Schizosaccharomyces pombe: one gene and its partner. The protein of the gene in region 1 purifies or fractionates together with the protein of each later gene. This does not show direct contact. Each region holds a gene or a part of one and is shown on either strand. Other genes may lie near its edges.

The links.
Region 2: the proteins of zip3 (region 1) and ptr2 purify together in Schizosaccharomyces pombe (co-purification; one study listed by BioGRID). This does not show direct contact.

Annotation. Positions count from the first base shown.
Region 1 is NC_003424.3:5,316,150-5,320,349, forward strand, and holds zip3 (ZIP zinc transporter 1), read left to right. Parts: upstream 1-1,725; 5' UTR 1,726-1,789; coding exon 1,790-3,151; 3' UTR 3,152-3,379; downstream 3,380-4,200. Other genes in the region: 2-oxoglutarate-Fe(2+) oxygenase superfamily protein Ofd2, read right to left, coding at 1-342.
Region 2 is NC_003423.3:3,404,968-3,410,343, reverse strand, and holds ptr2 (PTR family peptide transporter), read left to right. Parts: upstream 1-1,984; 5' UTR 1,985-2,651; coding exon 2,652-4,508; 3' UTR 4,509-4,769; downstream 4,770-5,376. Other genes in the region: bbl1 (phosphatidate cytidylyltransferase), read right to left, coding at 5,194-5,376. UniProt on the Schizosaccharomyces pombe protein: Uptake of small peptides.

The DNA of each region.
Region 1 (4,200 bases):
ATCCTGTCCTTTCCACAACCTTTGTTTAAAGTCACTAGGGATATAATCATTTAAACAGTTAATATGTGCCGGAAAAGGTATATACAGATGCGACTGCTTTCCAGAACCATATATTGAAAGAAGTTCCTTAGGAACGTTATTAATCAGATTTCTTTGGACAGATTCGGGAAGACAGTTAGGATAATAGTTTATACCCTCAATCGTCTCAACTGGTACCACCGTCCAATTTTCAAAGTCATCCAAGTAATCATCTTTCTCCTGATCTACTTCTAGCAAAGCTTCATCAAATTCCAAACCAGCGTCTGACAGCAGAAACGAATCGCTCATATTTTCATACAACATTTTCTAAACTGAAACGAAAAGATTGCTAAACTATCCGTAGCATCTGTTCTATGTTCACTTTGAAATTTTGTTAGAAAGCAATTTCTCCGTTTTTACAACTAAGATTCAGATCACCAGTTAAATGAAACTGTCTAGAAAATTGGGTTCTTGAATTATGAACGCGGTTTCGCCAAATAAATCTCATGTTTTTCTACCACATCCTTCCCAACATTGTTACCTAAACATATTTAACAACCCCATTTGAACGGTGAACAAGTTTTTAAAAACCTTAGTATTAGAGTAGTATTATTCATATAAGTAAATTTTAGAAAACTAGTTGTTGGATTCAAAGGTTTCTCTCATGTGGTGTGGAGAACGAAAAAAGCGATTTTGGCGTTAGAATTGATGAGCGAGGCACTTTTGGGAGGGTTTGAAATAATTAAAATTATTCATTTTCATCAAATCACAGTAAGTAGATCAGTGCGATTTTACAGTGAGTCTTGGATGTTCATCTTTTTTACTTGTAAGCTCTTAAAATATCGTAGAATTAATAGGGTATTTGACCGGTCGAAAATGGTTTAACAATAATTAATAATTACTGAATATCACTGGTATAAAAAGTTCATACATATTTTGCATACAGGCTCATTGACAAAAACCTTAGGTGGATTTTTTTGTGGAAAATGGAATTGAATCAAATAAATGGATGCACGAATATAGAAAAACTCGTTAATTCAATTTAAAGTCCTTTAAAGGTGAAACCTAAAGTCAGAAACACTTGAAATAAGCAAGCATGAAAAACGGCAGTAATTTTTAACAAAAATAGCGAAATTGGTAGATTGGCTTTTTGAAGAATATTACCGCTAAGAAAGCTTGTTATTACATTCGAAAATTTAGAACCTCTGACTAGCAAAGTAGGAGCTTTCAGAACTCTTAAACGTTAATAACTTCATCATGTTCTGTACCTTCTCTTGGTATAATCACGAAAAGTGTGGTGCACTTGATTGGAAAAAGCGATAAATAAACCCCATTAGTTTCTGTTTCTTCTTTTTCTCGAATTTAACATATTCCTATAACATTGGCTGTAACCTTTTAAATGAATTGCCAAAGTCATTTTCCATCATCAATTATCTACCTGTATTTAGAAAGGAAGAAGTATAACAGAAGCACACACACCCAAATTTACTCACCCGAATTTTTATTGATTTCAAGTTCTTGTCGTAAATATAAAGCATTCATCTTTTAAAGGAAGAATTAACGAGTTCCCATTCGAATAACTTTTTTGTAAATAATTACTTGGAAGTTAGGTAACATCAATAGTGAGTAGGCAAGTAACAAAGGAGTACCCTATTATTGGTACTGTATTGACGCATTATAGCCCTTGGCCACAGATTTTCAAAATTCACCTTCCCCTTAAACATCAACCTGGCATTTGGGTTTTTACGGGATTTCATCTACTATTTTTAAAATGTTTTTATTGCAACGGTTTTTCATTTATGGGTTGTTTCTAGCATGTTTTTATACAACGGTGTTTGGAGAAAAACATTTTGAAGCGGAGGAATATAGAGACTCCTTTTTATCGCAGGAAAATATGAATAAAATTAATCATACAACTATAGAAAGGTTGTTCCGAGAAATGACAGAAAACGATCCCTCTTTGCTTTCTTCCTCAAAAACTCTGGCTGAACTTAGTAAGGGAGAACTTGCTAAAGCACGCGAAGATTTGAAGAGCGTCTTAAGTTTTTTGAAGAATAATCTGCCTGTTGATACTGAATCATCGTCAGAGGCTTTTACTATAGAGAAAGACAACAATTCTTGCGTTTGGTTGAATTCAGTTAAAAGCTTTGTAGAGAAGCAGTTCTCTTACTCCTCGGGAACGAATGGAATTCTCGCGACTTTCTTAACAGCAATACCACCTAACATTTTTATTCTTCTTGTTCCCAAGTCGTTCGACACGAGTATGTTAAATCTGTTCGTGGCAGTTTCTGCAGGTAGTTTATTAGGCGATGTTTTTCTACAATTACTTCCTACTGTGTATTCGACAAATGGAGGAGATTTTCCAGCATCTTCTGTTTATTCAATCCTTATTGGAGCCCTAGTATTCTTTCTAATGGATAAGGGAATCCGCATTTTAATACATGAGCGTCCGTCTTCGCTCTCTAAGCCAAAGAAAGACGGTGAAGAGACTTCAAGTGTAAACAAACCTTCTGCTTCTTCAACTCAAACTGACGTTAAAGGAGTGGAAGGATTGCGGAAACGAAATGTCAAAGATGATCAGAACTCTAAAGGTCACGAGCCTGATTTGATTAGACATGTAGTTGAAGAAGTTAGTGAAGAGTATAACGACAAAACTGTGGTATATTTAAATTTGTTATGTGATTCATTTCATAATTTTATGGACGGTTTGGCGATCACTTCCGCCTTCTTTACCAATACCTCCATTGGCATATCCACCACATTTGCTGTTCTATTACACGAAATTCCAGCAGAAATTGGTGACTTGGCTATACTTCTGAGAAATGGGTATACGAAATCGCAAGTACTCGTGTTGCAAATGATCACTATGGTGACGGGATTATTGGGAGCAATTGTCGCTACATATATATACACTGCTTCATCTTCATCTTCACCATATGGTTCTTTCCTTCTACAACTTGAGGATAAACTCCTTCCTTTCACGGCTGGTGGTTTCCTTTATATAGCTTACCTAGGCGTATTTCCCGAGCTTTTGGAAATCAACTTATCAAAAGGAAAGCTGGGAAATATGATTTACACGGCATTGTACATGATGTTTATTGTTGGAGGTTTTTCTTTTTTATATTATGTTTAAAGTGACAGATAACTTACATTAGGGCGTGGTATGGAGTTGATATTGTACTATTCTAGAAATATAAATCGGGACTAATATTTTTTGTCCTTCATTTTTTCTGGCATTGTGCTTTGTCTTTACATTTAATATTAAAAAATTACACATTTATGAAGATGTGTAGAAACATTATTTTAGTTCTTTTATTAACTTGTTAATTATTATGGTAGAATTAAGTTGTTCACATTCACATAAGGCGCTTTCGTGTTCAAACTTGTAATTTTTGATCCCTCTTATTTCAAAATTTACGCGCTTTAAATCGTTTAAGAGTATTTTTATTTCTTTTCCATAACCTGTTTCTATTCTAGCTGACAGAAAAGATTGTAAACAATCGGCATTGAGAGTAAACAAATAATGCCAATTTAAAATAACATTCAATGTTTTTGCTTTTCATAAGCGAAAACACGTTTTGACCAAACCTGACAAGACTAAAACTATATGGAATATTATTATTATAAGGGTAAAGGAAACGAGTAAGAATTCAAGGGCAATAAACAAAACATCCTAACTTTTTTACCGTTGTTTCTATCACCATCCTAATGTTTTGAGTTTTCATCATTGTAACATTCCTATGTCAAACAGTGGATGAAAACACTTGTTACCCAAGTCACAACTACTAACTGTTTTACAGTACTGTTTTTAAGTTACTCGTTACTTATATGTAAACAATACAGTTGCTAGATATGGTAGTAAAAAGTATATAGGGTATAAGGGAAAATATATTTCATTACTTCAAATCGATAAAGATTTTGAACCAAAGAATATATAAGCACCCACTTTTTGAAAAAAATTTGTAAAAAAAGTCGAGCAAATATATATATATGATGGTATCACGTAACCTCGTTATATATCATAAAATTAGATGGTAATTGGTCAAGGATGCAACCTCGCATTAGAAAGTGATGAGATGGATCGTTCATAAAAACAATCCAACCACTACCTACTAAATTGAGGAGACCTCAAACCATTTTCGTCCGTTCATCGGTAAAGAAATCATCCCGATGCTTTGGTGG
Region 2 (5,376 bases), on another chromosome or scaffold:
TTGTTTAAAAGTTCATAAATTCAAAGGAGAAACATCTGCCAAAGTAGTATCAACTTGTGCACCGACGACGAGATAGAAAAGTCAAGTCAGAATCAGCAATGCTAGAAGCATAGATATCGATGTGACATTGCATACTCCTTCGTTATTGGGGATTTATTTACTAATGCTATCAAACTCAAGTTTCTTCAAAGTTATCATGAACTTACTATAAGAAATCTGATTCTGTGATAGAAGATATCGTTTGGAATTTAGGGTATACTATCTGTTGCTAATTTGCATACTTTTTGAAGTCTTGTGCCTCGCCTTACACAACCATCTCGTTTGCTTGACGGAGGGTAGGGTATCGCTGCATAACGAGTTGGACCATTTCTTACTAGGCTTTCCCGATACTTTCAGCAATCTTGCAGCATTATGGTTTCATTTGGCAAAATGAGGGAAAATGGGTGCGAAAAATTGCTCATACACCAACAAGTCCGTTTTGGAGTGTGATATGTTCATTTCCGTGACAGTTATACCCACTACTATTAATGCTATCACTATTCTTCCTTTCTTACTTTACTTTACCTTACCTACTTGTTGTCGTCCCTCATCATCTTTGCGACAATTCATGTGGGGGTAGGCGAACTAGTCGCTTTTACTATCTCTGCCACCCACGATGTTTACCGGGTTCGAGGTTCTTAAAGAGAAGACCTTGTTTCCTCGTGCACACACCGTGCTACAGCAGACCACTCACCATTCGCATACATAGTTTTACCTTGGTGAATCGCCAGCGCTAATCGCGGAATACCCGGGGAAGGAAACAAGAGAGAAGAGACACGCGAACGTGGTGTAAAGGCCGATGTCGAGAAGAAGGAATGAATTCAACGGTTAAATAAATAAATAAAAACAACAATGTAACACTCATCAAACGATTACATAAATTTAATAAATATGCAAAGTATTAAGAATCTAACAAATATGTAATTATTATTAATGAGCAAACTACAAGTAAGCAATGAATACAACTCAACCCTCAAACCTCTAAAATTATTGAAAAACTTCGTTCACCTGTATGTCGTCGTGAGAGAATAAGAAACGTAGAGGATGTGTTTGTAAATAACAATATGTATGACAATACATAGACAGTCATCTCTTTTCTACCTTTTCCCTCATCCTCATCCATACTCATATAGTAACACTTATACCTTTTACTCTCACTTTCACATATACTAACTATATTGTCTCACATTCTTTCTATACCTCTCCTCACTCTCATTCTCACTCCTGTAGTGAAACTTCTATTTTTGGCACTATAACGTGCTACTCGTTTTTTCCATATGCTCTGCACGTTGTGCTCTTGACCATTTAATTCCATGCACCCCACTTGGTACCCAATTTCATCCCCACTTTTTCGGTCAAGTACGACTTTCCACTTCAACCATGCGATGTGGTGGCACAAAAGTCCTAAATGGAGGTACACGAGTTTTTTCTATCGTTAAGCAAAAACACGCAACTGAACAAGTGCGCAATCCTTCCGCATGATAGTGGAGTAGATGAAAAAAACGGCATCACACGAAGAAATCCAAGCTTATCTATTTCCAGCGGATTTACCAATTTTCACCCCTTTTTCCAACAGGTCACACGTTGTGCGATATGGTTACTCCTCGTGCATTTTTAATCAAATAGATATTCCGCACTAACGTTTTTGTCCGAAATAACATTTGATTTATCCAATCAACCATCAAACCCACCTTTCACGCATTGACCTTAATTATTAAAAATGTGCAGTCTAGACCGGTCCTCCCTCTTTTTTGATTTATCTGTAGGGAAGATAATAAACTTTTTCATACCACGTTTCCTACATTTACGATTTGTCTATCGCCTATCGTGCTTTGCTCACCGTCATTGATAAAGGCGTGCATGAACACGTGGTGACTGCTAAATCAGTGTGGACAAATTTCATTTTCAGCAGTATTTATACTTGAAAATTATCCCCTCAAAAGACATCCTTCGTCGTGCCGTCTAGTCTGTGTTTTAGAAGTAAGAGAAATTCAAAAACCTTGAGTGGAAACTCCTCATCGTTCGTATAATTAATCGTTTGACCTCTTTTGTTTGGAGTTGTGACTTTCTCCACACTTTCACATACATACACTTTTAATTTCCAAGTATTTATTTAATACATTAAGGAAAAATTTTTTCATTCTAAAAATTTTTCTTTTTTTATTATTATTGTCATAAATACTTATTTGTTGTTGTGTATATTTAATCTTGTTTTAAATACCCTTTCTCACTCTCACTCACTTTCATATTTCTTACTCTTAGTTGAGTTAGTCGGCCTTCGATACACATATAAAAGTGTTTATTTTAACTTTTTTGTGAATTCACTTGTCAATTTTGTGTAATTAGTTTGACTAATTATTATTATTATTATTTTTGATCTATTCTTTTTTTTATCTTTTGTACTACAATTGTTTTTTAATCTTTCGCTTGTTTACGTTATTTTTCTCTTCCTCTTTTTTTTTTTTTAATATTCGCCTCTTTTGTTTTCTCGTTTCATTGTAATTATTTTATACCCAAAAATTGTTCTTGAAACTTCTGTTCATTCTCTTTTTTATTATTATTTTTGATTTTCATACGATCGATTTCCTACATTCAATTTACCTGTGTTTACAATGAGTAGCATTGAAGAACAAATTACGAAATCGGACTCCGATTTCATCATTTCAGAAGATCAATCCTACTTAAGCAAGGAGAAAAAGGCTGATGGTTCTGCCACCATCAACACCGCTGACGAACAATCCTCCACCGATGAACTCCAAAAATCCATGTCCACCGGCGTCCTCGTCAATGGTGACTTATACCCTTCTCCTACCGAAGAAGAATTAGCCACCCTTCCTCGTGTTTGCGGTACTATTCCTTGGAAAGCCTTTATTATCATTATTGTCGAGCTTTGCGAACGTTTCGCTTACTATGGTCTCACTGTTCCCTTTCAAAATTATATGCAATTCGGTCCTAAGGATGCTACTCCAGGTGCCCTTAATTTAGGCGAAAGCGGTGCTGACGGTCTTTCTAATTTCTTCACATTTTGGTGTTATGTCACCCCGGTTGGCGCTGCACTTATTGCTGATCAATTCCTTGGTAGGTACAATACCATTGTTTGCTCTGCTGTCATTTACTTTATTGGTATCTTGATTCTTACATGTACTGCTATTCCTTCTGTCATTGATGCCGGAAAAAGTATGGGTGGGTTTGTCGTCTCTTTGATCATCATTGGTCTTGGAACCGGTGGTATCAAATCCAATGTTTCCCCCTTGATGGCTGAACAGCTTCCAAAAATTCCTCCTTATGTAAAGACCAAGAAAAATGGTAGCAAGGTCATTGTTGACCCCGTCGTCACCACCTCTCGTGCCTATATGATTTTCTACTGGTCAATTAACGTCGGTTCTCTCTCCGTATTAGCCACCACTAGTTTGGAAAGTACTAAAGGTTTTGTTTACGCATACTTGCTTCCCTTGTGCGTCTTTGTTATCCCCTTAATTATTTTGGCTGTTAGTAAGCGCTTTTACAAGCACACTCCTCCCTCCGGTTCCATCTTTGTTCGTGTTGGTCAAGTGTTCTTCCTTGCTGCTCAAAACAAATTTAATCTCGAAAAAACTAAACCATCTTGCACTACTACTGTTGGACGCGTTACGCTCAAGGATCAGTGGGATGACTTGTTTATCGACGAATTGAAACGTGCCTTACGCGCCTGCAAAACTTTTCTCTTTTACCCTATCTATTGGGTATGCTATGGTCAAATGACCAACAACTTAATTTCTCAAGCTGGACAAATGCAAACGGGTAATGTCTCTAACGATCTTTTCCAAGCCTTCGATTCAATCGCCTTGATTATTTTCATTCCCATTTGTGACAATATCATCTATCCATTATTGCGTAAGTATAACATCCCTTTCAAACCCATCCTTCGTATTACTTTAGGGTTTATGTTTGCTACTGCTTCCATGATTTACGCTGCTGTTTTACAAGCAAAGATTTATCAAAGAGGCCCTTGCTATGCAAATTTTACTGATACATGTGTTTCCAATGACATCAGTGTTTGGATCCAAATCCCTGCTTACGTTTTGATTGCTTTCTCTGAAATTTTTGCCAGTATTACTGGTTTAGAATTTGCATTTACCAAGGCCCCTCCTTCAATGAAATCCATTATTACTGCTTTGTTCTTGTTCACCAATGCATTCGGTGCCATTCTATCTATTTGCATTTCTTCTACTGCTGTCAATCCTAAGCTTACTTGGATGTACACTGGTATTGCCGTCACTGCCTTTATTGCTGGTATTATGTTTTGGGTTTGCTTCCACCACTATGATGCTATGGAAGATGAACAAAATCAACTTGAGTTCAAGCGTAATGATGCGTTAACGAAGAAGGACGTTGAAAAGGAAGTTCATGATAGTTATAGCATGGCAGATGAGTCCCAATACAATTTGGAAAAAGCAACTGCTGAAGAGGAAATCATGAAAAGCACATAATACTTAATTTAACTTAATTCGTATTTGCGGGATGCCAATTTTTCTTTTCTTTTTTTTTTTACAAAATTTCCCAAAAAATTGGGGTTTGCATGTTTTGTTTCCATCTTTTTTTTTGTTATGATGCCGTTGTTCTACTGATGCTCCTTATTTAAATGCAGTAGTACTTATCCACTCTCAGAAAATAGAGTTTTACAGTGGGTCTATATACCAGAATTTACTACAGTGTGATTTAATGAAAATATATATTGCTGTGCATAATTTAAAATATTAAAGAAAGTATCAAATATGTTGAAAATAAGAAATTCTTTAGCGGTAAACAAAACTGTATGTGTTGAGACAAGAAACTGTTTTTTAGTAGAACCGACGTGAGATTAGTCCAATAATCAACTTTTCTAAGCGTTTGCGAATTAAGCTAGCTCACTTAACCAACCTGATGACAAAAGTTTTTGATGAAAACTAATTCGGAAAATGTCAAACAAAATTTTTAAGGTGAAAAACTGAAAATTATATAAAGCAAACGAACGACTAGATCTAGTTTGGAGTTGACTAAAAATTAGACATGGGATATCAAAACTTCCAAGCAATAACGAATGACTAACAAACGGAAGTCAAACTATACATGACAACGCATTTAATAATATAAAAGACTGGCTAGTAAACAAATACGAGGATAACAAAGTGTAAGCTATTTTGAGTTTTGAAGAAGTTTGGAACAAATAGCTTGAACACTAGTTTTGCCATGACTGATGAGATAGTTTTGTAAATCTTCAACAAGTTGCACTTGCTGAGTGGTCGTGAGGCTATAAACTGCTGTATCCAATAAATCAGCAACAGATGTACTCTTTTCTGCAATAAATGATTGGAAATA